4 linked regions of the Alligator mississippiensis genome follow. The main gene of each other region encodes a partner of the protein of the gene in region 3 in a complex. Links are inferred from orthologs where the notes say so. Each region holds a gene or a part of one and is shown on either strand. Other genes may lie near its edges. The genes, in order: TAF4, TAF13, TAF11 and TAF8.

Region 1 (7,931 bases), on a different chromosome or scaffold from region 3:
TGCTTACCTGGTGGCAACTGAAAGTTCTGAATATTAGTTGGATTCTGAGGTGGCTGAGGCAGACGAGGTGCTAAAACTGTAGGAGTCAAAGTTGCTCTGATACCACTTGTCGTTGCTGCTGGAGTCCTTGGCAGATTTTGTGCCACTGTATTGGCAGTGCCCTTAGCCATCCCCGTAGGAGTACCAGGAGCTGCTGGAGGTATCCCACCAGGATTGGGGGCCACATTAGAGAGCCCAGCTTGCATAGTTTGCCCAATGATCATGTTACCCCCTGTAGTACTGGGCTGGCCACTAGCAGCCAGTGTCTGCTGTTGGGATACTGCCTGCACTATAGTTTTAGGAGACTCCGATTTGATGACCTGCGTGGTGGGGGCTGCCGGCACACTGGAACCAGGCTGGCTGTTCACAAGCGATGTCTGGAGGGCAACTCCAGATCCCACAGTGGCTGCAGCAACAGCAGGAAAATTCCCCACACTGATGGTTGAATTGATCACAGTATTGCTCCCATTCTGGGTGGCTGCAGCAGCTGCAGCAACCGTGGGTCCTGCTGTATGAATCGGTGGCCTCACCAGTGCTACAGTAGCCCCCCCGCTTCCAATGCTTGGTGGTGGCTGTGAGGAGATCACTGTGGGTGACGAAGAGGCAGAGGACACAGCAGTGCTGAGGAAAGAAGTCTGGATGACAGTGCTGGAAGCTGATGGCAAAACAGCATTAACAGTATTTGCTTTCCCCACCGATCCAGGTCCATTGTTAACTAGAGGGGCAACAGCAGGTGCAGAAGCAGGATTAGCAGTTGCAGGAGTCCCAGAGAAAGCAGCACTTCCGGAGTGGTGAGAGTTCATCACCACATTACTCCCATTCAAAGTTTGCACGGTTGTGGTCCCAATTTTGCCATTCCTGGTGGACAAGGAGGTTGCCATGGTGCTGATAACCACCGATTTGCCCTGACTGAGGGTCCCTGGAGCAGCAGTAACTTCAGATCCTCCTCCTCCTCCTGCAGCTGCTGCTGTAGCTGCTGCAGTGGTGGTGCTGGTGCTGGTCGTTGTGGCTCCATCCAGAGCTGAACTCTGGGACCTGGTGTTATGGTTAATAACACCCCCTTGCACTCCTCCAGCTCCTGCAACAACGAGAAGGAGGTTACAAGAAGAGAATGCGCAGGAGACAACAGAAGCATGGGAAGCATTCTCCCCCCAAGCAGCCTTTTTCCCCCACATGCTGCCTGCAATAAGAAACAGGGGTGAGCATATGCAGAGGAAGAAGAGCTACAAGCCAGTGAATCCCAAGGCCCCCTAGTCTCCCATTAGCAGCGTTATTAATTATAACGCCCACTTGCACCAAGAAGGGAAATCAGACGCCTGATAGGATACAATACAGACCATGACTGGGGAAATGTTTCTTTTCCTTCAACCTATTTCTCTTTCATTCTAGGGACTGACATTATGTCTAATAACTTCAGATCCTGCAACTATAAGGGGGAAAAAAAACTGAAGGCGAGACAGAGAGCCTGGGAAATCCATTAATAAGGTGTATTCCCCATGCCTTGTACACCTGATGTGGGCTACCCTCCTCATCCTATCAGCTGCCAGACTGGCAGCTAGTTGCTGGAGCATCTAGTTCAACTACTGCAAGAAGAGGAGGTGGGGACGAGAGAACCGACAGCCTGACAAGGGGAAAGCTCTTAGGAGAAAGAGCGGACGGGATCTGCTCTTTATGGTTACGGGAACCCGAGAACCAAAACCATAACAATAAAGTAAAATCGTAAAGAAGAGAAGGTAGATGCTGGCACTGAGAAGGACCATTATGATGCAGCTTCTTGCCCCCAGAGCTCTTCATGCCCCTTGGCAAGGCCTGGTATTATGACTAACCCCAGCTTAGATACTTCAGGTCCTGCATTAAAAAGAGAGAGAAATGGGAACGGGGCAGTCACTGACAGATACACTAAGAGGCGCATCGTATGGGGGACCCTCCCCCGCAATCCCCGCTGCTTTGATTTAATAGCAACGACCTCTTAGCAGAAGGAAAAAACACACACACACACACACACAAAAAAGAGGGGGGTGGGGGTGGTGAGGAGGCGACAAGAAGCACAAGACAACATTTTCCCTCCCTCAAAAAAAAAAAAAACAACATCTTACACGCCACCATCCCCCACCAACGGAGACCTCGCGTCGTGACGAACACCGACCCCCCCCTCCACCCCCCAGTCCCAAAGCCGGCGGGAAGGCGAGGAAGGTGGGGTGCACCCCCCCCCATTGCCACCACCACCACCTCCACGCCGGGACCTGACGTTGCAAGAACACCCTCTTGAGGGGAAAGGAGGAATGAGAGGTGTCGAATGCCCCCCTCCAGGCTCCTGCGAGAAGAGGCGGGCGACGGGGGGACACCCAGACAGATGCAGATGGTGCGTGGGGGGGGTGGGGGGGGACACCCTCCTCCTTGAACCCCCCCACCCGGCTTCCTCCCATACAGGAAATAGGTGTCATGATTAATAACCCCCCCTGGCACTCCAGCAGCCGGGGGGAGCGCTGGAGTGCGAGGGGGGCCGGCAGGAGGCTCCCCCCGCTGCCACCCCCGGGGGGGGGCCTGAAAAGTGGGGGGGTCCCCCTGCCAGAGCCCTCAGGGGCAGGGGGGAAGCCCTGTCCCTCCCTACCTGCTTTGGGGACCTCGGGGGCGCTGAGCCCCATCTTGCCTCCGCCCTCGCTGTGGACATGGGCGCCGCCGCCGCCGCCGCCTCCTGCTCCCGCTCCCGCCGGGCTGGGGCTCGGGCTGCTGCCGCCGCTGCCGCTGCCGCTCACAACATGGTTCCCCAGCAGCCCCCCGGCGGCCCGCAGCGGCTCCTGCGCCTTGTGGGGCGGGTGGTGGTGGGCGGAGGCCGCCAGCTGCGACTCCAGGGAGCCCACCAGGTCGCTCACCACCTTCTCGTCCACCTCCGTGTTCAGGAAAACCTCATCCAGCAGATCCGAGCCCGCCGCCATCTTTTTTTTGGAGGGTTCCTGTGCGCTGGGCGCCCTCCCCCCTCCCCTCACACTCCTCCCCTGACCCGCCCCGCCCCTCCCCTCCCCCCGCGCGCGCCGCCCGGCCCCGCCCCCCGCGCCCCCTGCGCAGGCGCGCCCGCCGGGATTCCGCCGCGCGCTCATTGGCCCGCCCGCGCCTATAAAAGGCCGCGCAAATGGCTGCGGGGGTTTAGTCGGGAGCCGGGCGGCGGCGGCCCGGCGGGAGCTGGAGGGGGCGGGAGGGAGGGGGGCGCGGTGGCGGGGAGGGAAGGAGGGAGGGTGGGGGGTGCTCTTTGTCTGGCCGAGCCCAAAATGGCTGCGAGGCTGAAGGGCGCCGCACCTGTGAGGAAAGGAGGGGTGAAGAGAAGCCCGGCGCTGAGAGGAGGGCAGCTCCGGAGTGACTCCGGATCCGCGACAAGGCCGCTTCTGCAACCTAACAATAGGGCCCGGGAGGGAGGGATGCTGGGGTTGCCTCCAATCTCCCTCTAGTTCAAGCGGGAGCTCAATCCAGCCTTTCCATGCACAAATTTTTTTTGGGGGGGGGGGGTGTTGTGAAGTGGCCCACAGGCTGATGCTGTCTTTTGGGAGGAGCGAATGGGTCCTTCCAGGCTGGATGCGGTGCTGGGGGTGGGGGTAGCTAGAAGGAGACCGGAGGCAAGTCGAGAGCAGCTGCTTTTTTTTTTTTTTTTTTTTTTTGCGCTTGTAAGTCTGGATTGAAACCCCTGAAAAAAAAAAAAAATGGCCCACAGAGGAATATTTAAAGAAAGCATCAGCCTTTTGGGAGGAGCAAACGCTGCCAGCGCCTTGTCCAAATGGATGCTTCTAGGCTGCAGAGGCAAAGGGATGTGTTGCAACAGTTTCCCCCCTCCCCAATAATACCTTTTAGCTTATTTAAAGCAGACAGATGGAGCCTGGCCTGCTGGTCGTGGCCCAAAGGTGGTATGGACAAGTCTTGTGTTGGCCTCTGCAACATTGCTTAGCTTGGACTCTGGTTTGCTGAAGTTCAGCACTCAGTGTTTAGGAGTTGGTGGGAGAAGAGATGAGAGAGACAGGAAAAAGAAAAAGTCTTCCCTTAAACATCTACTGGACAGTCTACCACAGAGTCAAGCCACCTATTGACACCGGTGGAAAAGAGGGGAAGGAGGTGGGAGTCAACAGCTTTAGGGAAATGGTCTCTCAGGTCAATACATTACCACTAATATTGGTCTTAGGACTCTAATCATCATTCATCACCGACACTGCTAGCAGCATCTATGGGCAGTCCCTGAAACACACTGGTTACTGCCAATGCTGCCAGCGGCATCTGCAGGTGGTTGCCAACCACTGGTTGGTGCTCCCCACCACCACCCACCCCAGAGGGGGCCACCTGCAGGTGGTCTGTGCCCTCCGCCCCCGAGTCTCCAGGGACACACAGCACTCATGCAAAATATAACCCATGTATTCCTAATATTTTAATATGCATCCTAATATTGCTGCTCGTCTAGTTCCAAACTCTCTTTTCCCCTGTTAATAAAGCTGGAGACAGTTTATTCTTCTCTCCCATGAAGAGTTTTGCACTATGAATGAGAATCGGAGCAATTGGCCTTTCTTGAAATTCTTATCGCCTCAAAACAAGTCATTAAAACTTGAAGCAGTTGCCTCCCTCCTCCCAACATTTAAAACCTTATTAAATCCCCGTGTCTAAATTCCCCTTGTGTAACCAACATGTTCAGCCATTATAACTATCCTTTATCCTTGTTTTCATTCATTACTGTTACAAGCTTTCCTCAGTTATCCTGCTCAGCACCTGGTAGAAAGCAGCAAGGAAAAGGACCTGTTTCTAATTACAGGGTTCTCAACTTGCACTTTTTGTCAATACTAGTTGAACTACACTAGTGCAGCTGCTGTATCCTACACACACATCCCATGAAGCCTTGTTGCCCAGCTCCTGAAATGCAGGACCACCACTTCTACAGCTCATGTCACTTCTCTCCCATGCTGCTGCCTTTATCCTCAGTTAAGTTCTGTCAACTTTAGTGACTCCAAGAGAAGGCTATCTGTCCATGCATAACTGAACAATAACAGGATAGCAATTCACAGGCTGCACCAACTGCCAAAATGACTCCTCAAGGACAAATTCTTCCAGATGAAAGCCAGAACAGTCCTGATTAGCCCTAGGATGACAAAGATGACCAAAAGTCACTTTTTCTGCTCCTTTAGCTGCTTGGGCTGCATTTGGCTACACATGCACCATGGATTAGAATGACAGAGGGGCACAGCAAGAGAGAAGAGCTCATGTGAAGGAAGAACTAAACACAGCAATAGGGACAGAGGGAATGACTAAAGGACAAGAGGGTCACAGCTGGACAAAAAAAGAGCAGAAGAGATTAAGAAGTTCAAAAGGTAGGAGATGGTCATGTTGGGGGAGAATTAGCAGAACTCTTGGACAGAGAGAACCTTCATTGTGAGCCAGACCATACAATGATTAAGATTGCTATGATTCATTTCCAAATGTTTGTAGTATTAATACTTCTTACCGTATCATATGGAACATCTACTATACTAGCTAGCTGCCATACAACATTTCAATAAAAACTAATGAAACTCTGTCTAACATGTACATTAATAAAAAGAGTCATACATATAAACACCCATCTTTCCCCTAGTCAGTAGTCTCAACTGCCATGCCTTTGATGTTAACATTAGTGGGGGGGAGGCTGCACAGAGGGTGAAACATGCTTTTGTAGAGGTGGGCCCCGTCTGGTCCAAGGCTCCCTCATGGCCTTGTCCTGATTTTACTCTCCCTCAGCCCTCTAGCTTGGGGCCCACCATTCAGAGCTGCAAGTTCCTGGGTCAGCTCTGGTCACAACCCACAACCTCAGGTTCCAGCCTCTGCAATCCACTATGTAGGCGCTAGGGGCCTGGCATCCCGTTTTTCCCCTGCCACCTCCTGCCTTATAGTCCAGACAATCTTGGCCTCCTATGGCCACCAAACATACTTTAAACATTCATCTTTACAGTCCAGGCAAGCTTGGCCTCATTCAGCCACAGAACACACTCTAGTCCTTGTCCTCTGTCAACTCAGTGCAAATTCAGGGTCCCCCAGTCCCTCCCCCCCCCCCCACAACCCAGTCCTCGGGGACAGGGTAGGGAAGGAGGGAGAGGAATGAAAACCACAAAATGCAAGCACCAGTCCCAGTTCAAAAGAACGCCCCACACGGAATCGCCCCACCTCTTGGTGGCAGGCTCCAAGTAGAAAAGAAAGCAAAACAGGAAGTCCCAGTGGTACTTAGCTTTCTTTCTATGCAGGCTCCCAGCTTCTCTTCACTCAGCGCTGCCCCCCCCCCCCCCCCCCCAAGTCCTCTCTCCAGAGTCTGGGCTCCAGTCTCCACACCTCCCAGGGAAGGCTCCATCCCGGATGGCTTCCACAGCTGGCCTGAAGCTTGGGCTTATATAGGGCTCCCTGGGTCACATGGCCCCTCTACTTCCCCTCCTGGGATCACTGGCAGGGATCCTGGTTTTCCCTGTTTAAAAATGGCAAATTCTCCGATTAAAATGCACTTGCAAATTCTCCGATTAAAAACCCTAAAATCCATGTTTTCCCATGATTAATAGGAAATGCCGCTATATATAGGTATCAGTAGAACACAATGATTTATTGATATATTTACAGCTTTTAAGCAATTTCGAAGCCTTCCAGTACCTCAGTCACTACAATAAAATAAATTCTAAATGCCTATAAAGTTTGGCATTTGATTTTAGGTTTTTTAACTGTGAAAAAAAAATCAGAGCTTCCCCTACCTCTTTTGCTCACCAGGACATGGGTCCAGCAGTGACCATCCCTCTCCTCCACCCACTGCTTTGTGGTGCTAAAACAGCCCTGATATGCTGGTGATTTGCCCATGCCATTGCCCCTCATGCCCAACCCCCTAGCCCTCTTGGTGCTCCTCACTTCCCACCTACAGCCCCCTGGCCCTGTTGGAGAGGGACCCAACTGCCAGAGCTACAGGGCCATGGACCCGGGTCTGCAACTACCTACCCCCCAGCAATGTCCTCTGCCCACTCAGCAGCAGCAAGAGGCACAACTCCACACCACCACCCCTGCTACCGCCAGGCAGACAGGGGACACATCGCCATGGCAGTGTGGGGCTCGTGGCAGTGGCATCAAGATTCCCCACTGTGCCAGGTCCTGCACACAAATCTGGGGGGCTTGTGCCCCCCCATGCCCCCTTAGGAGTGCCTTCCCCACACCTGCTGCCCCCTAGACAAGCTACCTGCGGCTCCATCCCACTCCCCACCAGGGCCCTGCAGCCACCCACTCCAGCCCCAGGCCCTGAGCCCCACATACCACCTCCACTGAGCAGCAGCCCCAGCCCTTTTTAACTCACCCCCTCTCTATGGCACCCTCAATTCCACTCTCTGCTAGATTTACCTGCAGGAGCTGCTCTCTAGGCTGCATGTGTACATGCACATGGGGCCTGCTGCTCGACCACCTTCCTCCTGCTCCCCCCAGCCCCTTGCAGGCTGGAACCCTGCTAGCCTGCAAGAGGAAACCCACCATTTTCTGCATTTTTCTTCTTTAAAAGGATAAAATCCAGGTTTTTCCTCCTTAAGATAAGAAAATCTGGGTTTTACCACATTTTTCCATGGTGAACAGCAAACCCAGATCATCAGGCTTCCCCTGCCACTGGTCATCAGGGTTCCACTGCCTGTGAGTTTGCCTCTGGGGCACAGGCAGAAGAGACAACAAGGTGAAGTGAAAGGAAGCAAGAAATCACATCCATGCAACCAGAAAACCAGGGGAAAGGGACCTCTACTGGGGAAAGGATGTACTGGCCAACACATAAACAACAAGAGAGAAAAAGGCGAGGTACCCCCAGATACTCTACCCATTCTAGTAATGGGGTAAGGGCCCCATTACAGTTGGATATTAGGAAAAACTCTCTCATGAGCAGGGTA
Region 2 (7,887 bases), on a different chromosome or scaffold from region 3:
AGAGTTATACAGGTAGGAGAGCAGGCTTAAACTAGAGACTGATTTGGGGAAGCAGAGCATAGCAAGCATCAGGCAGTGAGAAACAAGTATGCAGTACATATAGTGCAGGTATCTAAAAAACAAACAAACTGCTGAGCTAGACAACTTCACTCAAAAACACTTGGACAATGACAGCAGGACATTCTTCTTTTACAAGAGCAACAGAATCCACATCCCATAGAGCAGTGCCTCTCAACATTTTTTATACTCAAGGCACCCCTCATCCAGCTCAAGGCACAGCCTTAGAACAGAACAGGGATTCTCAACCAGGGTGCCTGGGCACTCTCAGATACTGCTAGATCCTTTGAAAAGTGCCCTAAGGTGCGAGGGGATAAGCAACATATGAAGAGACAAGCAGATAAGCACAGGCTCAGACTTGTCCCTGCCTGGCCCCCTGCAAGGGGGGAGGGAGGGAGGGAGGGCAGGGTAAGAACTGTAATATATAAATTAGTTTTTGAAATGGGTGCCATTCAAATTCACACAAGTGATGAAGGGGTAGCTTGAGTCCAAAAAGGTTGAGAACCACCGGATTTGAAACCTGTCCCCCACCTCTAAGTTTTGACTACAGAAAATAGCAAAGCTGGTCTGCTGCTGCAAACAACTCAGAAAGCCAACAGGGTAGCACGTCACAAAGTCACAGACTATAGTCAGAGAGAAGTGGGGCTGGAAGAGACCTCTAGAGGTCATCTAGTCTAACCCCCTGCCTGAGGCAGGATCAAACCCATCCAAACCATAATCTAATATCTATGTAAGACTACCATCAACTAGGACACAATACAGACCTAACATCCTAACCCAGGGGGTTTCAACCTTTTTAAATAAGTGTACCCCTGGCAGGTGGACATGGAACTGGGGGGGGGGGGGGGGGAGGGTGCGCGTGCATGGCCAGATGCAGAGTGACAGCAGTGTGGCCTGGTGGGTGGCAGCGATGGCTGCTGTGCGTAATCTTCCCCACCCCCCCGCCCCATGTACAACTGGTGCCTGTGCAGCCCACAGAGGGGCATTTCTGCCCTTACCCCACCCTGGCCCTGTTCCTGGGAAGTGGTGGCACTCCATCCCTGCTCGCTTGTGCATACCCCCTAGGGCCTTCCCAAGTACCCCCGGTTGACAACGCCTGTCCTAACCTACCACAGGTAAAGCAGAGGAACCATGGCAGACAAGGTCCTGCTTCTATGCAATGCTGTCAATATATGCTCAAGGGATCCCAGGAAGAGAGCCATGCCTACTGCTACAGGGGGAAGGCAAAAACGTGGGTCTCCAGGTTTATTTTATGAACCACAGGTACGTGCTGTCACACCTAAGTGCTAATATTGTGCAGCAACCCTTAAGGGAGCTTTGCGGCACCCTGGCTGAAAATCAGCATCATAGGAGGCGTACACTTTTATTTCTTTAAAAGGTATCGTTTAAAACTAACATGGACTGCAATGCACACGTCTCTTTTCTCTCTTGGAAGCACAGTCACTATGCTGGACTGTGAACTGCTGGGAACTTGTCTGTAGTAAGGCTCTTGAAATCACAGAAAAATCATAGACAATTAGGGTTGGGAGGGACCTCAGGAGGTCACAGGTTGCATCTCACCAACCCAAGGGGCCTAATGCAATAGTATCATAGAAGATGAGGGTTGGAAGGGACCTCAGGAGGTCATCTAGTCCAACACCCTGCTCAAGGCAGGACCACCCCCAACTAGATTATCTCAGCCAAGGCTTTGTCTAGGCAAGTCTTAAAAACCTCCAAGGATACAGATTCCACCACTTCTCTAAGTAACCCATTCCAGTATTTTACTACCTTTCTAGTATGAAAATTCTACCTAATACACAACGTAAACCTCCCTTGCTGCAACTTGAGACCACTGCTCCTTGTTCTGTCATCTGCCACCACTGAGAAGTCCAGCTGAGAGTCCAGCTTCATCCTCTTTGGAACCAACCTTCAGGTAGTTGAAGGCTACTATTAAATCCCCTTTCAGTCTTCTCTTCTGCAGGCTAAATAAGCCCAGTTCCTTTACCCTCTGTTCAGAAGTCATGTCCCCCAGTCCCCTCACCATTTTGTTGCCCTCCACTGGACTCACTCCAATTTGTCCACATCCTTTCTGTAGTAGGGTCCCAAAACAGGAGACAGTACTCCAGAGGTGGCCTCACCAGTGCTGAATAGAGGGGAATAATCACTTCCCATACCCTGCTGGCAGCACACCTACCAATGCGGCACAGTATGCTGTTAGCCTTGGCAGCAAGAACACACTGCTGGCTCATATTCAGCTTATTGTCCACTGAAACCCCCAGGTTCTTTTCTGCAGAGCTGCTGCCCAGGCAGTCAGCCCCCAGCCTGTACCGGTGCATGGGATTGTTCTGTCCTAAGTGCAAGACTTTGCACTTGTCCTTGTTGAACCTCATGAGACTCCTTTTGGCAAGCCAGGTTCCCCACTGTTGTGCAAGGCTGCAGCAGGGTGGCCCACGCGCCCAGACGGGGTACCCTCCCCCCCGGGGGGGCAGGCAGGGCCAGCACAGACGCACCATCTCCGTGATGAACTCGATGACCAGGTCCTCCAGGATGTCCACGGCCTCGGTGTAGGGGTTCTGGTCGTCCCCGAAGCCGTACATCATGCAGCGCACTAGGGAACGGAAGGGAGAACGCCACGCACGCGCAGTTACCATCTGCCGGGGCCTCAAGCTTGACAGGGCCAACTGCCCCCCACCCCCGCGCATGCGAACGCCCCAGTACTCACGCTCCTTGGAGAAGAGGCGTTTGCGCTTGCCCTGCCCGCCGTCCAGGCCGCCACCCGCCTCCTCCGCGTCTTCCTCGAACTGCGGATGGTAAAGGGCGGGAGGGGTTACTGCATGCCCAGAGCATTCTCCCCACACTTCCCCGTGGATGTCTCACTCACTCACCGGCGCGTCCTCCTCCTCGTCGGCCATGATGCCCGGCCCGCCTGCTGCGCGCCACTTCCGACCTAGCCTGCAGAGCTTCCGGGTGATGCTATGGGGGCCGCCATGATTTCGTAAGGAACTACAACCGGGGCTCCGCCCCTTTCTTCGTCCCTTCCATGGACGTTTCCGCTTACGCACACCACACTTCCGGTTTATGCTTCCCCGCGCGGCCATTTTGCCGTACGGACGCTGGCTCGAAATCTTCCCACCCCCGTCCTTTGTCCCATCAGTGTGAGGCTTCCGTTGACTCCCATGGAACTTCCGGTTTCTGCTGGCTAGCGCCGCCAATTCGGTGTACGGCTTGTTGGACAGCGGAGCAGTCTCAAGGCTGGGCTGGGCCGGGGCGGCGTGGGTGTCGCCGCACGCACGCACAGACACGTGCTTTTTCATTTTTTTAAATTTAATTTTAAAATTTTTTAAACATAATTTTTAATCTTAATTTTTTTAACTTTTAAAAAGTAATTATTTTAACTAAACTTAAAATATTTTATAATATTTTTTTTAATAAAATATTTAAAAATTAGATTATATATTGGCTGTACTTGTGCTGTGCCTCTTATAAAGAGAGGCCAAATCTCATGAGTTGGGAACTATCAACCCCTGCAGTTTTCCCCACCTACGTAGTGCCTGTTGCTGGCCTACATTGAGGTCCCTTCAGCTTCGCTTGTACTCCACAATGTCAGACTACACTTTTACAGCTCCATGTTAGACAAGAGCCCATGAGAAACTACAAGTGGAAAACAAGGTATTCAGGCTTGACTGGGAAAGAATGTGAAAATCTATTTAAACATGCTAAACCAGCCTTCTGCCTTTCCCTGCTTCCCTCTGCCCAGCCCAAGGAGGGACGAGCAGAGGGGAGAACTCACAACACGCTGCTTGGAAGAGACTGACTCCTTTGGGGATCATTTCTAGGCACTCCAGGCCTGCTGTCCTACGTGAACTTTGGCCCAACAGCATTTTTTCTCCCTCTCAAGCCGGGCTTGTGAGCTGTGCTACTACTTGCCACCTTTTTCATGCAGTTATTTACATCTAGGATTTTTAGGCAGGGGTTATACTAGTTGAGAAACTTGTTACTTCTCTGCAGGGCCTCAGTTCGATCATCTCCTGAGGGGAAGTTCTCGGGGCCTGCCTGCATTCATCTACTGCAGTGATTCTCAAGCAGGGTGCTGTAGCACACGGGTGCCTGGGGATCCTTTTCCGGGTGCCACACAATGTTAGCACTGCCGGGGTGCAGACATGCTGCACAAGATCGACCAGAGATTGCAAACAGGAATCCAGAGCGTCCGAACCATTCTGCCCTGTCGTGGCCTCTGAGTTCCTTGTGGCAGAGACTGCTCTGTTGTTTTGATATTGTCAAAAATGAGTGAAAACTAAGAGCTGGCATGTTCTGAGGGGGAGCCCTTGGTCTAAAGAGGTTGAGAACTGCTGATCTACTGGCAAGAGGTCCACTCTTCCAGTCAGGATTAGGTCTCTAACAGCTGTAAGTATGTTCTGAGTAACATATCACTGCTCTGAATACAAGCTTATTCTTTAAGAAGTTGAAGAGGAAGAGAAAAAAGGTGCAGCCAAGCTATAAGTACCAGAAAAATACAAACCCTTGAGAATGGGGTCAGTGAACATCTCTATGAACCTGTGAATGAACTGCATGGCATTTGGAGAGAGTAAGTCCAATGCTTTGTGGTATCTGTTCAAAATAGTTTTTTCCTGCGATACATCCATTACCTAGAGAAGATCATATTCTGCAGGGGAGTGGCTCGGTGGGGAATTTCTAGTTTGTATTGGGGTTTCTTAACCATATGCCATCAGTCATTTAATATTGCACTTTACACAGTGGCTTCCCTATTATGAACTTCTCCTTTGAGTCTTGCTATGTGGAGCATAAAATCAGACCTGCATAGCAAGAATCTCAATGGAACTGGTTAAAGCTTTCCAGCATATGCACATTCACTCTTTTGGTAGACACCTTAATTTTATATATTTAAAAATAATAAGTATATAAGTATTACATTTCTCTGTTGACAAAAAAAGCAACAATTCACACCAATGCTGTAGTAATTTCAGTGGTAAAAGATCTTCCTCTCAGTTAACATAGTGCCAATCCTTTTTCTCTCTCCCTCTTTCCACTTCATGACCAGTATGTGACAAGCAATGAAGAATAGTCTGTTCTTCCCCAAATTCTGTCTCCCTCTAGTGCGCGACTGACCTGTTTCTCAAGCTTTTTGGAAAGAACAGAGGTCTCTCATAGTTCACAACATTACATACTTGTCTGGTAACGCTGTAGTTTGTTGCTGCTAGTACAGAAAGGCCCACAGTTTTTTCCCCCCCAAAACTGACATTACAGTGGAAGTGAATAAACAAGTAATAAAAATAACTCTCAGATGCGAGCACAGCTGTTAGCCAGTGTTTTGATGTTGGGACCAATAGCCAGATAGTAGTACAAAGAATCCTAGAAAAGAGACAACTTAATGACTAGCACCTTCATAATGCTACATCTCAGACTATAATGTGGATGTAGGCCAGGGGTGGGCAAAATGTGGCCCAGGGGCCAAATGCAGCCCGCCAAGCCATTCTATCCAGCCCGCAGGGCCCCTAAAAAATTTAGAAAATTAGTATTTATCTGCTCTGGGCTGCCTGTCATGTGGCCCTTGATGGCTTGCCAAAATTCAGTAAATGGCTCTCTGCCCAAAATAATTGTGCCCCCCGATGTAGGCAGTCTTGGCTTTGATCTGCTTACTGCCTAATGGGATGCTCCCTAGGACTGACCTAAAAAATGTGTCTGATAGTCGCATACTCCCTGGCGTGCTGGTAGAGGGTCCTGTTAGCAATTAAAAACCTAGGATTCTGGACTAGCCCAGGGATTGACACCTCGTTCGATGAGTGACAGAAAGGCTTTATTTACTACAAGTATTTAAAATCAAGTCAAGTGAGCCCAAACCAAATCAAAGTCCAGTAATTAGCTATAAGGTGATGATTTTTCACCAAATGGGTAACGAAAAGGCAGTCTGTTTCTCTTCAACTTCTCAAGTAAGTTGGGCGCATCAGCAACTGATGTCAGAGAGATTTCTCACTCTTGAAGTGTGCGCTGTTTGCTGCTTTACTGCCTTTTTATACCCTTAGTTTAGCATCTTCAAAGCATTCTTTTAGTTGTGTAAATCAAGAGAGAGTCCCAAGCAGTAATTGACAGGAAAAACCTGCTCATTACTGGTTATCAGAAATTTCTAATTTAAATTAGTTACTTTCTTCAGTAACAAGAGGTTATCCAGTTTGAAACATATCAAGAAATTGATTAACAGCCAGGAAAAATATACTAAATCAGGAGGAGACATCTGTTACATATGGAGAATGTCTCTTCCTGCACATAAACACGAGTTAGTTGCAAAAAAAATATTTACCATACTAATTAATCAAGGATAGACATTTCATATGGTTACACACCAGACAACTAAGAGTCTGCCTGAAATCATTTTGAGTATAGAAAGATAAGCTGGAAGAGATACTTCATTATTCCTTCTTAGATGGCCTAGCCATGAACTCGCATCCTCTTGCAATACGCAGTTAGCGTTATTCTGTATTTTAAGTTTTGTGAGTAGGCCCAAGCTTAGCATGAGTTTCAGAGTCATCAGGTCCCATTCCTCCTCTTCCACTCCTTTGTGACCATCACAGCAGACACTTCTCTACTAGGGCATGAAGCATAAGTCAGCAGTCTCCAAATGCAAGGCCTCTCGTCTTCCAAGGAGACAAAGCTCCATATTAACATAATGGACTTCCAAGCAGGGCAGCAAGCATCCAGGATTTCCTACACCACGTCAGAAGCACCATATTCAGATTATGACTGACAAATCTATTGTGATATCTGATGCTCAAAGGTGAGATCTTTCCTTCACCTTCTAAACACGGAAGAAGTCAGCCTATGTATCTGGTGCATCTACCAGACACATTTCTTGGTGGTGCATCTTCCAGAGTTCAAGAACCAGCAGGGTGGACAGTCACAGTACACTCCTGCAAGATGAATGAGAAATCAAGTACTCCTTCAGGAGTCTGTGGACTGGGGATAGCCAGAGGTTGACCTGTTTTGCTACAGATGTTTGAAGTAGGGCTGGTTCATTAGCTCCAGAAGAAGAATTGGAACCAGGTTCTTGTCCAATGATTTATTATGCTCAGGGAAACTCCTGTATGTCCAATTCCACAGTTGGTCTGCAAGGCGGGTTAGAAGTATTCTGTCTCTTACAAATAGATGTTCTTATAAATGGTCAATTGTTTAAATATTTGAAATATTCAGCATTAAATAAATACTTTCATTTTAGTGGGGACAAAAATCTTTACTAGAACTTCTCAAATTTCAGCCACTGAAACCATCTGTGACATCTACATACTTAATTGATGCCTACACCTGATATAAGTGGTTGGGTCCCGTCAACTCTTGTTGCAATCAAAATTAGGTGGATGGTTCTGAAAGACTGCTTTGTGCTTGCTTTTTTCTTGTCCTCACTAAATCAAGACTTGCATTCCTGTTCAACTTAGAACTAAATGGATTTATCAGAAGGCTTGAATTCCACGTGGTACCCCTGATTTCCTCAATAAAAGAGATCTAGAAAGCAATGACTAATTGGAGGGGAAAAACACACCTACATGATGTTCTTGATCTAGCTAAGAAAGGAGGATGCTATGCTTAAGACTCAAAGAGCTCAGGGTCTTGCTCACCTCCAGCTGTAGCCATATATTCTAGAATGTATGCATTCACATTCAAGACTGCCTTCATATGAAGGAAGGGAAGGAAATATAAACCATTTATAAAATATGTTAATAATATTTTAATGAAGTTAATAATGATTGAAATCTGAAAAATAATCTGTTCTAGGAATAATTTAAACCAAAGATTCCACCTTTCTACCCAGTGATTTAAAATAAAATATTGGAATTAGTTTGA
Region 3 (8,017 bases):
TGCCCTGGGCAGGAAAGAGTGCTGGGGTCAGATGATCCCAGCCATGTGCATGTCCGGTTTCAGGACATGGGCAAGTTGGTGGGAAAAAGTCTAATGTGGTAATTATTAACCAGGGGAACTCCAGCACCCTGGGTGCATTGCCTACCAAATCCGTCGAAAAACACTGTCCCCACTACTGAAAAGCCCATGTGTAACATGATGTACACGAGTTCTTCCAACAAGGTCAGTGAGACTTGTCATGCTGAACTGCTAAATGGTTGTAAAGTATGTCTCAGACCAGCAGAGACTCCTAATGCCTGACGAAAGGCGACTGTGCCTGAAAGCTTAATAAAAGATATCACATCTACCCAAAGAGCCTTATACCAACAACGACTACAACCAAAGACCCAGCAAATGGTCAGAAAGATGTTTAAAAATGGCTACAAACTCTTTTTTGGAAGGTGGGGGGGTTCAGGACTTGGGATAAGCTAAAAAAGGGCAAATTCACGCTGGACACAAGAAAAAAACCTTTTCCTTGCAACCGGAGATGATCCTGGCAGGGTGACGGGGCCCGGGGCAAATCCGTCCGTGCGGGGCCCGGGTGTCAAGAAGCCGGCAGAGGTGGTGGCAGGGAGCGGGGCGGTGGCGAGCGGCCGGACCTGAAGCCGGCGGTGGTGGCACAGAGTCACCAGCGCTGGGCAGGTCCTGCAGGAGGGGCCGCAGCCGCTAGGCTTGGCTCTGCGGGGTCCCCCAAAGTGGTCGCCCTGATTTACCCCCCCACCGGGACGGTCCTGCCCATAAGGGTCACCAGCGTCTGGTGCAGAGCAGAGGCGGTGCCATCGCCCCCCTTGCAGGTGTTCGAGAGGAGGCTGGACAAGCACCACGTTGAGCTCGTCCGAGCCCCGTCGCCTCCTGCCCACGGACTTGACGATCCCGCCGGTCCCTTCTGGTTCGATGGCCGTGGGTGGCAACGCGACGGGTCTCAACCAGGCAGCGTCCGGAGCCCCGCAGGTGTCTTGTCTTCCCTGCTTGTTGCGGGGGGGCCTGCACCCGACCATCTCCCCAGGTCCCTGCCGGCCCCTTGCCACCTACGACGATGTGCGGCGCTGGTGCCGCCCTGCGCGCGAACGGGGCTCTCCCGGCAGCCCCCCCAGACCCGAAAGCGGGACCCCGCTGGGTCCGAGTCCTCCCCACGGCAGGGGACATCGGGCTAAAGACCCTGGGGGAGCAAGGCGTGGGGAAGAGAGCGCGAGGCGAACCCGGCGGAGGGGACCCCGGATGCCGGACCTCCCCGGTCAGAAACACGTTAACGGGGGAGGGGCGGTCACCACGCGGGGAGGTCGGGGCGGGGGGGGGGGGGGGCGCGCACCGGGGGCCCCAACGGCCGTGGGCGGGAGGGGAGCGCCCACCTGAGGAGGCTGGAGAGCGGGTGCCCGCCGCCGCCGCCGCCCCCGGAGCCGCCGCCGCCTCCCGCGGAGCCGCCACCGGAGCCGAAGCCGGAGCTGAGGCGCTTGCCCGACAGCAGCTTCTCCACGGCGGGCAGGTTGCCGGTGCGCGCCGCCTCCAGCAGCTCCTGCTCCTTCCCCATGGTCCGGCCCGGCCCGGCCCCGCCGGCCGCCGCCTCCCGCCCCGCGCGTCCTTCCGGGGCGGGGCCCCGCGCGCCCCGCCCCCTCCAGCCAGACCGGCGGAGGCCACGCCCTCGCGCGGGGAGGGTTAAGCCGCGCTTCCACCGGGGCGGGGCCTCGCCTGGCCACGCCCCCACGCCGCGGGGAGCGGCGCGAAGCATTGGGTGGGCGGGGGCGAGATTGGCTCCACCCCCATGAGGAGGAGGGAAAGGGGTGGCCCCGCCCCCGAGTGGGCGGGGTGAGGGTGACAGCCTCCCTGCTCTTGGGGTAGGGGTAGTGGTAGGGGTAGGGGACCCGCTTGCCCCCAGCCAGGGTGAAGCTGCAGAGAGGGCAGAGGGAGAAGAAGGGCAACGGGCATCTTCTAGAGGTGCGGCCCAGCCCTGCCCGCCCGGGCACAGGGGCAACTTGAAGTGTGAAATACACCAGGAGGGGAAACTCTGTGTATCTGGGTCCATGAAGGCCGTTTTCCTTAAGCCCTCCCAGGGATGACTGTTCTTCTGGAGCGGTTTAGTACCCGCCGAGGTGTTGGGGCTTAAAGCCTGCTTTATGGAAATGGGAGGCTCCTCCCTTGCTTGCTCCTGCGCCATATGGCACAACTCGGGGGCATCCAAACCTTAAGGCTTGGGCCTGCATGTAGGATGCCTGCAGAAAGACTTTGGAAATATCTGAAGCCCCTGGTGGGGGTGGAGGATGTTTGCCAGTTGTAGGGCCACTTACGACTCACAGATTTGGACTTCATCTGGCTTGGAACATGAAAAATGTCTTTTAAAAAAAAAGTGAAATACACTAGGAGCGAGGGCATTGAAACCCCAGCGTGATCGCTTTGGCCAAGGGCACAGAGCTGTTGGCTGCAAGGGGGATCTCAGTGTTATCCCCGCTGAATCCCAGGTCTGGTGAGAGTGCAGTGGTGAAGACGGAAACCAGTGCCAGTGAGCGCGTCTCACAGAGACAAATGGCGTTCCCCTCTCCCTGCCTGGCCCAGTGCCATCTCACCCCAGAAAGTGCTTCCCAAACCCCAGCCCTCGTGCTAAGGGCAAGTGCTAGTCCCAGACATTAGCTCCAGAGCGAGTGTCCAATGCGTTTCTAGCCCTCCTGATCAGTGAATGAAATCTGACAGAAGACAACCAGGACGACATTTGCATACATTAATCATGGGGAGCAGTAATGATTTGGTTGATTGTCCCCCAAGAAGTGGCGTGGAAGCTAGAACACGGCTGACCCGCCACCCGAAACACAGGTAACCCCCACTCTGCTGGTGAAATGCTGGTATGTGAACACCTCTGCCCCTACATTCATTCTTAACAAACCACTCAGATCTTCCACATGAGATGATTTGGCGTGATCTAAACTCACCGCCAACGCGGGTGCTTGTGCTGACTGTGAATCAGCAGGGAAGTTGGCAAGTGAAGAAGCGAGGAGTCTGGACTCTGTCCAAAACCAGTTAGACCAAGTCCCTCCAGTTCAGGTCTGAGACACGACCGTAAACTAAGGCAGAAGAAATTAGAACTGATGCTGCTCAAACTGTACCGGATCTGTGGATAAAAGGGGGGCTTCCCTGTCAGTCTCACACCTTTTACCAGCGTTAAAACCACACTGGTTTTTTGTTTGTTCATTTTTAAGTGAGATCAGCCTCACTGGCCAATCCCCAAGGCATGCACAGGCTCTTTTTACTTTGTATTGCGTGGTCTCTACAGAGAGCTAGTAGCAGATCTAGATCTGCTAATACCATTTCAGTATTTCCATATTGTCACCTACTCTCGGACTTTCCCAGTCCCTAGTATGGGGTTATTTTAATGCTCAGGTAGTTTTCTCTGTCATGAATCACAGGCTTTCAGTCCTCATTTAGTAACGGGCCATCCCTACATTTAATTGATAGCTCTTTACATGCTTGATCTGTAATCCTTACACGTTCAAAACACAAAATATATTTCCTACACTGGTATTACTAAGAATAATCAAAACCATTAATGTTGGTACCATAATTCATTCCATCTGGGGCTCTTAAATAAATTAATTACTTCTCACAGTCTCCTTATGAGGTAGACATCATTACTCTTATTTCACAGATGGGGCTACTGAGACAGACAGGCTAAACATATTGCCCAAGGTCTCATGGAGAACAAAAAACAGATCTTCTGACTTCCAGTCCTGGACTGTAGCCACGAAGCCATCCTTCCCTAAACATATTTTTAAAAAGCCCTGAATAGGCTGTGTTTACCTTAAGGATTAATGCACAAAAATAATTGTAACATAGCTGAGGGACTGCCTTTTGTAAGGCAGGAAAGGGTTAACACTCACAAGAAAGAAGGAAGCCCTGATTTCAACTTGGTAAAAAGATACCTGACATCTGTCAGCATAATGAGACTCACACAGGAAAAGCTTCTGACTGAACTAGACACTCAACCAGCTAGTGTGCTGCTATTATAATGAAATGCAAATGAGATCTTTTATTGGTAGCAATCATAAAGAAGATAAGACTAGAAGTTTGATTTAAACTGGACATTAGCCTCATTAGCTAAGTGAATCTCTGAAAGTACCACCATATATCACAAAAAAGTTGGAATTAATTTTTCCCTAGTGATTTGTATTTGTTAAACATAAGGATACATCTACAGTCAAAAAGAGCAGCTCGTGGATAACAGGCAGGATCACAGCATGCTACAGAAATATAAGGATTACATTCAATCTAAACTAATCTTTCTTACACGTCCTAGTGCAGCCATCACCACTGCTTTTAGGTATCACTTCTACAAGACTTATGGTTGCCTAAGAAAGGACCACCTTCACTGCTCACAGGAACTTCCTTGCTTGTATCTGTCTCAGCAAAACTATATCCAGGTGAACGAAGAAAGTGTGCACTGTATACTTATTGACATACTTTGTGATGCCCTCTCTCTAGGGCAGTCTTTTGGGAGAAGGTGCCTCGCAGCTCGCACCGAAGCCCCGTCTACACGAGGAAATGGACTGGCTGAGGATTGTTGTCAACAGTCTCCATCCCTCTTCCTGCAACAGCGCTGACAAACCTTTTGCCATATTCTCACACCATTCACATCACGCTTGTTGGGCTCCCAGTGTCTGCCACAGAGAGGAGCTGAGAAAGGCAAACCAGCTCATCCTGTTCTGCTGCGGTAGGGAACGCCTCGACCAACAACCCCCGGCCTCAGCTACCTCCCAGTTCGTTCAGATTTGCACTCATGGCATTGCCCCAGGGCCCCTGCCCCAGTGCCCCCCCACCCCAGTGCACACCCCTCTGCCCCAGTGCAGATACCCTACCCCAGTGCCCTCCCCCCGACCACAGCGGCCCCTGGCGCAGGCAGCTGCGTTGCCATGGAGAGAAGCCCCACCCCCAGCAGAGTGGTGCTAGGGCGCTGGCGCGGTCGCCGGCTGATGACGCCATCAGCGCGCGCCACCCCCCCGCCCGGAAGCCATGGCGGAGCCCGTCGAGGCGGGCTGCGAGGAGCCGGTCTCGGCCCGCGACAGCCCGCCGCCCGCCTCGCCGCCCTCCGGCCCGGCGGCTGCGGCCGAGACCGCCGAGGAGCCGCAGGTTGCGGCCGAGACCGCCGAGGGGGAGGCGGCGGAGCCCGGCGCGGGGGCCGAGCCCAAGGTGGCCGCGCAGGCCGGGGAGGTGAGGCTGGGCGAGGCCCAGGGGGTGGGGGCGGGGGTGGCTCCGGGGACCCGAGCGAGCAGGCGCCGCTGTCTTGCAGGCGGCGCAGGGCCAAGAGGGCCCCGAGCTGGCCCCGGCCGACGCGGAGGACCCGTCGCTGCAGGCGGCCGCCAAGAAGATGAAGCTGGAGATGAAGGAGAAGAAGGACAAGAAGCAGAAGGTGGACGAGGACGAGATCCAGAAGATGCAGTACGTGTGGTGCGGGGGGACTCGTGCCGGAGGCCCTGGGGGTGGGGGTGGGTGCTTCCCTGGGCCTGGGGCTCCCTTTGCCCCCCTGGGGCGCGTCCACACGAGCGCGCACGTGCAGTTTGCGGCGCTGCAGATTTGATACCAGCGTGTCCTGGTATCCAGGAGAAAAAAAAAGCTGCCACAAAAAGCGGCGCGGCGCGTGTAACAGCAGCGTGCGCCGTTGGAAACGGAGCTGTGCTCCGCGCAGCTGGATGGGTGCCGCTGCTGCCCCAGGACCCAGTTTGCCGTGGGCTGGAGTGCGCGTGCAGGGGCGCGCCCTGGGGCACAAAGCAGCAGCGCAAATATATGCCACTGCTGCTTGTGCTGGGGCAAATGCACACCCCTGCATGTGGGAATGTGCTCCTGAAGGAACGTGGTGTCCATCTGCATGCAAAACTGAGCCTAATTGGGGCCCCTTTCTAGCTCCGCTGCACCCAGCCTCCTTCTGGAGAGAACCGTGGCCCCTGCTACACCTTACGTCTGTGACAGAGTGCACGGGTGAGTCGTGCAATAAATGTGGGCTGGCCACATGCACCAAGTCACGATCGCATGTTTTGCTGGCAGTAGATGTAGACCGGCCACACGTGCAAAGTCACGTTTGCCCCACAAAAGTGTCCATCCAGCTATAAAAAGAGCCAACCAGCTTGCAAATGTGTAATGACTCCGAGCTGGTTTTTATCCAGCTTTCATTTGAATGTGGAGCAGGGCCCTATCCTGAGACCCCATGTGTGCAGGTAGTGCTAGTTTTGTCCCGAAGGTAATAGTCATGGGGCCTTTGTATGCTTCTGCTCTTCACCAAGTCTCTTGTGCCACAATGAAAGAGAGATTGGGATAGTGTTCCCTTAAATGTCTAAGTTGCCCTAGCTTCTCTTACTGGGGGGTTAACTGAAGCTATGTGCATAGTTATTGCAGAGCAGCCAGCGCCTGATAAGTTTCTATCCCCTGTTAATAGCAAGTAGGAGAACAGCTTGTGCATCTGCAATTATACTGGGGTAAGTGAAAACTAAACCAGGGCAGTTTTGCCCTGTTGCATTCAAGGGTAAGCTGCCCTAGTTTAGATCTCACCATGGAGTAATGAGAGCACAAGGAGAGTTGCTGTGGAGCAGCTGCAGTGTGGTAAATCCATGCACACAAGTCCAGGCACATACCACGTGCCTTTAATAAACAAGAATAGAGATGTACCAGAAGGGCAGTAACTATTTGTTTGCCTGTAGGTAGAGGAGCTAAACTGCTGTGATTTAGTTCCCACTCACAGGGTTAATGCAGGCAGAGGGATAAGCTTAGCAGGGAGCAGCCACAGTAAAAGTCCTGTCTCTGTGAATTGTAGGCTAAGGGAATGTAAAGGTTTTGTAGGGCTTATGACTGTATGTGGGGGTGCAACCAACCCCTAGTCTTGGAACAGTTGCCCTAGCTTATGAATGTAACAGAACACCTTATACCACTATCATATCTTTATGATTTAAATGATGTGCATCCACTCCTGTGGCACTGTAAGGGGAACTACATCACTAAACTAAACCTGAATGCAGCTTCAGTGACTTTGTGCTCTCCTACCCAGGTCAAGTGAGCTAGATAGTAGTAAAATCAGAACAACCGATGCATGATCCTAAGCAGCAACTAGGTCACTTCCCCACCCCACATGCCCTTTGTAACACAGTAGAAAGTTGCATCTGTTTAGTGTCTCTGCTTCATAATGTTAGCTAAAGTGGTATATGCCTTTGAAGCAGCAGATGCTTTAGGATTAGTTAACTGATGTTAGGGATATGTTTGATATTTTTTTGAGGCTAAAGAAATTTTTTAAAATCGTTCTGCCATAAGGGCTAATTTCCTTTCTTCTTCAGAATACTGGTGTCTTCCTTTTCTGAAGAGCAGCTGAATCGCTATGAGATGTATCGTCGTTCTGCTTTTCCCAAGGCTGCTATTAAACGGGTAAGGCTCTGCTGATATTCAGGCTGCAGAGTGAGGGATCCCACTTATTGCACATGTAGAAATACAGAGCAAAATACATTCCTTTTCCTTTTCATGTCCTGAGAAATCTGTGAGTTCTGCTAAATGCTTTGTTGGAATCTGACAGGGATGTGCCATGAGCACTTCTGCTATGGCCTGTATGAAAGCAGTAGATTGAATGTCACTACAAGTCTGGTCAGTCTAAATAGATGAGATTTGAATGGCAGAAGAACTGCCAACCCACCTACCTTGTTACTTGCTTTTTAAGTTGGTTCCCATCCTCTACTCCCATTGACTTCAGTAGTTGTTGCTCAAACTTAATATTTTTTGGTTAGAATCTATAGTTATAGTGAAACTTCTCTTGGTTAATTGCATCTTCTCTTTTCTTAAGCTGATCCAGTCGATTACTGGCACCTCAGTCTCTCAGAATGTGGTTATTGCCATGTCTGGGATTTCCAAAGTCTTTGTTGGGGAGGTGGTAGAAGAAGGTGAGTAAAAGTGGAATATCTTGTAGGCAGAGCAAACTAAGCACTTACCCATTCACTTTAAACGAGTTTGCTTTTAAGGGACCTTT
Region 4 (7,537 bases), about 2.1 Mb from region 3:
TGTCGGGCTCAACAGACCTTCGAAAACCAGATGCTCTTTGGATGCACACGGAGGGGCTGGCAGAGCACGGAATACGTGAGCATTCAAGCACAGGTTTTGGAAGTTTCCTAAAGCCAAGATCTGAAGGTCCTCAAGACTGAAAGAACATCAACAGCTTTACAATCACTGAATTACTTGTGCATACTTGAGTTCCCTTGTTGGAGTCCTTAAAAACATGAATCAGTTTTACAGTTGTGTTTGCTGTTAATTTTGGTTCATTTTGCCTTCTGGTTCCTGCCCAGTTCCTGACCTCTGCAATATGCTGGGCAAGCATTGGAAGAGAGGATTTTATTTGTTAAAATCGTTTATTTAAAAAAAATCCCTGGGAACGTTTTATTGATTACTCAGTAAATCAGACCTTTATTTCATATCTCATTTTTTCAACTGACTCTAACCTCAGATGGCCCCTCTCATTACAATTTCCATCTACTTTCATTGCTTTGATCTACTTATCTAAGGTGGTTTGGGACTGCACCCGTTGGTTTCTTCCTTGCTGGAAGGATACCCCCACGTACGTGCAGTGATGACCATCCTCTGGGAGCGCTTGGCATATGCAGGAAGAGTGTCCACGTTGAACCCTGAAAGGCAGAAGGATACAGTGAAATCACATCATGCTCGATAAAATGACTCATGGGTAAAGAAAGCACGAAGGGTGCCTGCCCTGACAGCATGGGCCTAGAAGGTGCATTTTCTATTTGAGATCTCAACTTCATGCTAAGGGTCTGCCAGTGATGAAAAAGCACTCTCTCCACTGCTCCCTCCCCAACTCCCAGCCATCCGGCTCTATGCTGCAGTGCTCCTGATCCAGGGATTGAGGCATTTTTCACACCCCCCATCAACTACAGGGAAGGCAATGCTGCAGCTCGGCAGGGCAACTGAGGTCCAACAAGCCACGTTCTAATTCCACGAAGGCTGAGGACAGAAGAAACACTCTCTCCCCATCTCCTCAACTTCAGCTCCATGAGAACCACTGTATGCGTGTCACTCACCCATCTCGACCAAGGTAACAACAATATCCGAGAGGGTCGGCTGAGTCCTTGCTGTGTGTTCGCAGTAGGACTTGGCGCTCCTTCCAATTTCTGAAACATCTGGGAAAAGACATGGCCCAGAAAACTGATACATGAAACAATCATTTACCAGTATACAGCAGCCTAATTCTGGCTTCAGATATGTAGTCTGGAGATGATCTGCAGAGATCCCTTCCAAGTACTTCAGAAAGGACACACAAATCTTACTGCTTCCTTTTTTTAGGTCTCTGGTTAAAAATGCACTCTGACCAGCAATGGCCTTGCAGACAGATCTATAATGTAATAACCTGGCAGCTTCCACTAAGATGCCAACACAGAACAATGTGTGGATCTAGGAGGCAGGCACATAAAAGTCAGAAAGCCACACGTGCAGTCTTCATTACTGAAATATCTGAACACCTGAAACTCTATTGTATATTTACGCTCACAGCATCTCTGTACAGTACTGCAGGATAATTATCTCTATTTTACAGATGAAACCAGATGTCACAGATTTAGCTGCTTGACTCCCATTGATTTTTTTATGAACTGCCATCAAAGTCACTGGGAGAGGGGCTCTGATCAACAACTTGCTCAAGATCACAGAGGACGCTTATGGTGAAGCAAGGACTGGGGTATAGATCTTCTCAACACCAGGCTAGTGCTGTAGCCACTGGACCATGCTTCTTGCCAGTTCCTCCACTGACACCAACGACTACAAGTGCATAAAAAACAAAAGCATCCAAGCTGGATGCCTAGAAGAAACTGTTGTCTAAGTAATTAAGACAACCCAATGAAAAGCTTCAGCAGCGATCTCTTAGGTACATTAATGTCACCACATCTGAGCCACCCGTTTGTTTTTCCAGCGAGATACCAGGTATTACAAGGTCCCTTTTTTCCGGCTCTCCAAAACTCCACCGGTCCCTCTAAATTTCACCTCCGTATTGACAACTAGTTTCATCCGTGCCACTAAACACTTACAGCTCTGTAACATTTCCGTCAGCGTTTCCACCGCCGCCTTCTCAGCGCTCTCAAACCCGGCTTCCGTCAGCAAGGAGCTAACCACCACCTGGAGGGTCCTCCTCCGAGCCAGGTAATAGTTGTCCGCGGGGGTTGTGGCGTATTTGCCACACGACCTCTGTGGAAACAGAGTCCCCGCCCCAAAGGAGCGTGTTAATGCAGAGAAGCCCCTTGAGAGTCCTTAGAAATGAAAAACAACTGCACTAGGTGCCAGACAACCATGGCAGGGCGGGAGGCTTCCCAAAGCACCCAAGCATTGCCAAAATAATGCCGGCTTGGTCTCGGATCCCCCCTTCTGTTCCAATCTAACAGAAGAGCAGCGTGGACACAAGCTTGGGGAAGTCGGAGATCACGCCGATTCTTCCGTACCATCCGCCCCAGGGCACTGAGCGAGCCCTAGACCTGCGGCTGGGACACCCCCAGGTGCGGCAGCCTGCAAAGGGAACGTGGCGGAGGCAGCACGGTGCAGCGGTTACAGCCAGGGACGAGGAAGCTGAGCCCCCCAGCTCTGATTTAAGACGCACAACGGGTCCTTTTCGTCTCCCCTCCGCAGACTGCCGACCTCCCTGGATCAGAGGCTCCTGGGGTCCAGCTTGGCTTCCTGCTGGCGCGTCGGAGGTCCTGGCGCCGCGGTGGCGGTGCCTCCACAGCCCCTGGCAGCAGCAGGGAGCTGCAGGTGGCCACATCACCTTTCCCCAGAGCTGGGGGCGTGCAGCTTCCCCAGGGGGCAGAAGGGAAACTGAGGCACCCCCAGCAGGAAGGGAACCCAAGCATCCTGCCCCTGCCTTGGCTTTACCTGCTGGGCCCTCCTGCCCCTGACTCCATCCATGCGACACCCCGCCCTGCTCTGCCCCACGTGCCCTCTGCCAGGGAGGCTCTGCTGAGGAACCAGCACCATGCACTGTGCCTTTAAAACCAAGCCACGTGACCCGCAGCCCACCCCTCTGATTGGCAGGAGCGGCGGCCAATCGGATCAAAGCACCTTTGACCAATCCACAGCCCCGTCTCAATCCCGCCCACCCGCACCCGTCAGCCAATCAGAGCCTTCCGTTCTTAGCAGTAGGCCTCGAGGCCTCCGCACCGGGCGGCCTCCATCCCCCGGGAAGGATGAGCCGGTTCCCCGCCCGTCTGGGCCCAGGGCTCAGCCGCTGGTGGGGGGCCGCGTCCCCGCAGTTACCGTGCTCGAGCCGCCGGACGCTGTGTCCGCCATCTTGGGCTCCAGCGCAGCTGTGCGCATGCGCGGCCGCGCGGAGCAACTTGGGAGTTGTAGTTCCGGCCCTGGGCTCTGAGAGCAGGGCACCTAGGGGGTGCAGGAGCTGCCTAAGTGTGCCTGGAGCCTGAGCCAGGAGCCTGCAGCCCTTCTCATGGAGGCTGCTCCCCTTGGGCATCCCCACATGCACCCAGGACTGGTGCCCTTGGACTCTGGACCCTCATCCAGGGGCATCGGTGGGACCAAAACACAGCTGACGGCGCCCCTCGGCCAGTCGCAGCAGGGGGCAAAGCGCCGCGTGGACCCGAGTGCTCAGCTGCAGGGACAAGGCTGGTTCAGGCACCCCGTTAAGAGCCATCCGGTTCCAGGGGCGGGTCCATGGGGTGCCACGGTGCTGTGGCACCCTGCTTTGAGCCCTGCTGCACCCAAAGTTTAACACCAGCCGTCTGATCAGGCTGCACTCCCTAACTTCATGAATTCTTCTCATCTGTTTCCCTGATTGGGCCCCCACTACAGAAAGGATGTGGGCAAACTGGAGAGAGTCCAGGGGAGGGCAATGAAAATGGTGAGGGGGCTGAGGGATGTGGCAGTGCACTGTGGGTGCCTGCCACTTTAAGGGCTGAGCCAAGCAGCCAGCAGGTGCTTGATTGCAGTGGCCATTTTAGATCTCTGGCCACCTATATAAACAGCAGTTTGCTGTTGGTAGGCTTGGCAGAAGCATTGCCTGGCTACAAGGTTGCAGCCTGGAGGGAAGGGCAGGAGCTTGAGGGGATGGTTTGAAGGCTCCTGGTCTTGGCCATGACCTAAAGCTGCACCCTGCTGGGAGTGGGTGGCCTGGTGGGGCTCTCAGTGGTGCAGGAGCCCCCAGAAAATGCCAGCCCAGTTACCACCCCGGTGAAAGGCAGGTTGGGGCACCTTAATAACCCCAGCTCCCACACCCAAGTGGGTTACCCCATGGTAGGGCCAAGAAGACTGACCCAGGTTAGAGAGTGGGCTATAGACTCAGAAGACTGACTTGGAATACCCTCGACTGGTCGGTGCTGGGGCCAGGACTAGAACGGTAAAAAGAGGCCAGGGGCCCACCGCGAGGGTTGCCTGGTGCTGAGGTCCTGAGGTTTCTGACTGGTCTTGGAGGTGAGGCCGGGGCCTGTGTGGCCAAAGGTCCTGGGGGGACCACACCCAAGAGGGGAAAAAGTTCAGGGAGCTAGGCAGCCCAGAATGAGGGCGAAATAGGCCGCCTGATTGGAGGGATCCGGTTGGAGTTTGGATTCGAGGATTCTGGGGCCCAGTGAAGGGCTGGTGATGTTAACAACTGTGGATACCATCTGCGAGGCTTGGGCTGCAGTGTAGGGCAAGAAATGGTCAGCCTCCCACCTAATTAATATCAATTGTATATCATCAAGGCATGGCAGGCGAAGAGGCGGCTGGTTGACCCAGAAACAGGTGGGCGGGCCATTGGTAGACTGGCCCTGAGGAAGCCCCCTGTTACAGAGGACATGGTTTATGAGGAGAGGCTGAGGGAACTGGGTTTCTTTAGTCTACAGAAGACTGAGAGGATTTAATAGCAGCCTTCATCTCCCTTCAGAGGGGTTGCAAAGAGGCTGGAGCTGGACTGATCTCAGTGGTGGCAGATGACAGAACAAGGAGGAATGGGCTCAAGTTGCAGCAAGGGGAAGTTTAGATATTAGGAAAAAATTTCTCACCAGGAGAGTAGTAAAGCCTTGGAACCGGTTACCCAGAGAGGTGGTGGACTCCCATCCTTGGAGGCTTTCAAGACTTGGCTAGGCAAAGCTTTGGCTGGGATGATCTAGTTGGGGCTGGTCCTGCTTTGAGCAGGGGGTTGGACTAGATGTGACTTCCTAAGATCCCTTCCAACACTCATTTTCTATGATTCCTGCTAATCTCTCTGCACAGTGTTAAAGACCCTCCCCAACACTTTTAATGGGCTTGATGGTCCACTATGCAAACTATCTTTTTTTCCGCAGTAGAGCTGTCTGTTTGCTGTTCCTGGTCATGTCAGCCTCCTATTTCACAGCCCTGCAGACTCTTTTCAGGTTTAGGTAAATACCTTAACTCAGGTGTGGTCCTATTAACTCGGGTGTAAAAAGGAGCTGACAGTGAAGTATTGGAGGTGCTGTTTAGATGCTCAAGACAGCTAGATTTTGTTTTATGAATCTGACTGAGACATCTGAGAGAGACATTTAACTATAATGTCTAGGGCACTAGCAACAATATCAATATCTTCTTTGACTATTTTGATGATTTTTGCCTAATTTGATTGGGGGGGGGGGGTGCTTAAACTGGTACATAATATACCAAATCACTGCACATTCCAATGGTTATATTTATTTTTTGCTTTGATCTTAAACTGAATAATGTTGTGCTTGCACCCTAGTATATTAATCAAGCTTCTAGTTTCTCTGTAGCTGGAGGAAAAAAAGATGCGTTGTATTATCTGTGTGCAACACAATCGATGTCTCCCTCTTCAAAATCCTAGATCCACCCATGTCTATTTTACACAGGACAGGGTAGCACCAATGCTGCTGCTGAGCCCTGCTGATTCCATCTCTTCTGTTGTACTGTGACCACGCACTAAAACTTTATCTCTTTACCACCATCGCTGCCACAGCAAACTGCCTGGTGTTCATCCAAGCTGCAAATACCTTTTAGATCCTTCATGGTGCAGACAGAAACGGAGGAATTGCCTTCTTCTAGCCTATAAGACCATCCATTCCCCTCCACTGTTTCAACTAGATACTGTCTTCTGAACTACCTAAAATATGGTGCAGGGGCACTATGTGCTGATCATCAGTTGTCACGTAACCGTCCCCAAGTCAGCTAAGTTTCAACAGTTGGTAGTGTTGGTTCGGGCATGACCTCCCGTTGGCAGCGTTGATTCGGGCGTGACATCCTTGTTGTAAGGATTTGGACATGATGTCCTTGCTGTAATAAGAAGCATCACGGGATCTCTGATAGCCGTGGCTGGTCAGGATCTCTGTCTCAGCCAAAAGATGGTGCTGCTGAGTTTGTGTCCCAACAGGAAAAAAGTTTGCATCTACAAAGGATGCCTCTTAATCTCACGTGAAGAGTCTAACTCACTTGTTAGGGCTTATCTAACGAGGGGAACATCTCAGATTTTGTCTCTTAGTAAGCAGTGTGCTTTTAGTGGAGTTTAATTTCCCTTCTCTCAGGGGTTCACATCTTTTGATCTCAATTTTGGCAAACATCAGAAAGTCGGTTACGTGTTTCAGAAGCTATAGAACAGGAAACCCCCCCCTCCCGCAGCGCCCACCCCTTGTTTCCTGTTTAAGTACATGTGTGGGAGAGCGAGAGCATCACAGAGACCAGTAAGTGTGTTTTTGAAAAAAAAAAAAAAACAAAAGAATGTAAACAACAGCTGCCACGCTGGAAATTAAAGGTCCTGATCTCACTTTCAGATCATAACGCAGCTTCCACACGGCTCTGGCTAGGGCAGCAATGGCAGCGCAAGTAGCAACGTACGGAAAAAGAAGGGGGTGGAGTAGGAGAAAGCTGGGATTGCTCACAGGAAAAACATCCGGAGAAGTCAATTTGTTGATCATCAAGAAAGGTAGGAGGCTAATGTGGTTGCTTTATCACTGTAAAAGCATACTTTGAAATGGAGTGAGCGAGAGAGAGATCTCATGTCAGCTTAGGCAACCAGCAAAACTTGACTGGAGAAAGGCAGGTTGAATGCAATTATACTGAAAAACCTGGAGATACTGTGAAGTGGGTACTTACGATCGGATTGCTTGTTAAAGATCGATATCACTGCAGAGTTTTTGGTGTGTGTGTGAATTCCCTTGTGCAAATAGTGACAGGACGGGCAGAGCAGTGACGCAGTAATTTCTCCACCAAAGGCAGGTGTGCACGTCTGCCCAGAAGCGCTGGAGCAAAGGCGTGACAGGTTTTCTGTCCGTTAGCTGGCTAACGTGAGATGTCTGTTGTCTTGCCAAAGACACGGGGTCTGATTTTTTCAGAGCCCCTGCAGCTTCCTCCTGGAGTTGTGGGAACTCGGCATGTCTGAAAATCTGCATCCTTATGAGTACAGATTGCAGGGGGCTGTGAACTGGTAGCTTAGGATGGGTTCTGCTGGTGAACTCTTGTCATGACCCTGACCCAGTGCGATTGAGTGGAAATTGGAGTGAGAGCTTTAGGTGGTCTGGGTCAAAAAAAAACAAATGCCCAGCACACTACTATTGCTCATAGCTAAGCAATGGGTCAGGTTTAACCAAAAACCTCT

The links.
Region 1: TAF11 (region 3) and TAF4 share a complex: the UniProt entries of both Homo sapiens proteins name them as parts of the TFIID basal transcription factor complex. The link is inferred for Alligator mississippiensis from reciprocal best matches to the Homo sapiens genes TAF11 and TAF4.
Region 2: TAF11 (region 3) and TAF13 share a complex: the UniProt entries of both Homo sapiens proteins name them as parts of the TFIID basal transcription factor complex. The link is inferred for Alligator mississippiensis from reciprocal best matches to the Homo sapiens genes TAF11 and TAF13.
Region 4: TAF11 (region 3) and TAF8 share a complex: the UniProt entries of both Homo sapiens proteins name them as parts of the TFIID basal transcription factor complex. The link is inferred for Alligator mississippiensis from reciprocal best matches to the Homo sapiens genes TAF11 and TAF8.

Annotation. Positions count from the first base shown.
Region 1 is NC_081832.1:5,994,199-6,002,129, reverse strand, and holds the start of TAF4 (transcription initiation factor TFIID subunit 4), read right to left. Parts: upstream 3,015-7,931; 5' UTR 2,976-3,014; coding exon 2,651-2,975; intron 1,118-2,650; coding exon 8-1,117; intron 1-7. UniProt on the Homo sapiens protein: The TFIID basal transcription factor complex plays a major role in the initiation of RNA polymerase II (Pol II)-dependent transcription.
Region 2 is NC_081824.1:247,510,338-247,518,224, reverse strand, and holds the start of TAF13 (transcription initiation factor TFIID subunit 13), read right to left. Parts: upstream 3,012-7,887; 5' UTR 2,949-3,011; coding exon 2,922-2,948; intron 2,838-2,921; coding exon 2,759-2,837; intron 2,645-2,758; coding exon 2,547-2,644; intron 1-2,546. Other genes in the region: GTPBP8 (GTP-binding protein 8), read right to left, coding at 6,947-6,959. UniProt on the Homo sapiens protein: The TFIID basal transcription factor complex plays a major role in the initiation of RNA polymerase II (Pol II)-dependent transcription.
Region 3 is NC_081837.1:36,973,744-36,981,760, forward strand, and holds the start of TAF11 (transcription initiation factor TFIID subunit 11), read left to right. Parts: upstream 1-5,005; 5' UTR 5,006-5,031; coding exon 5,032-5,229; intron 5,230-5,308; coding exon 5,309-5,457; intron 5,458-5,919; coding exon 5,920-5,994; intron 5,995-7,337; coding exon 7,338-7,425; intron 7,426-7,834; coding exon 7,835-7,931; intron 7,932-8,017. Other genes in the region: ANKS1A (ankyrin repeat and SAM domain-containing protein 1A), read right to left, coding at 1,389-1,567. UniProt on the Homo sapiens protein: The TFIID basal transcription factor complex plays a major role in the initiation of RNA polymerase II (Pol II)-dependent transcription.
Region 4 is NC_081837.1:39,073,772-39,081,308, reverse strand, and holds the start of TAF8 (transcription initiation factor TFIID subunit 8), read right to left. Parts: upstream 3,051-7,537; 5' UTR 2,965-3,050; coding exon 2,863-2,964; intron 2,185-2,862; coding exon 2,028-2,184; intron 1,128-2,027; coding exon 1,029-1,127; intron 618-1,028; coding exon 555-617; intron 1-554. UniProt on the Homo sapiens protein: The TFIID basal transcription factor complex plays a major role in the initiation of RNA polymerase II (Pol II)-dependent transcription.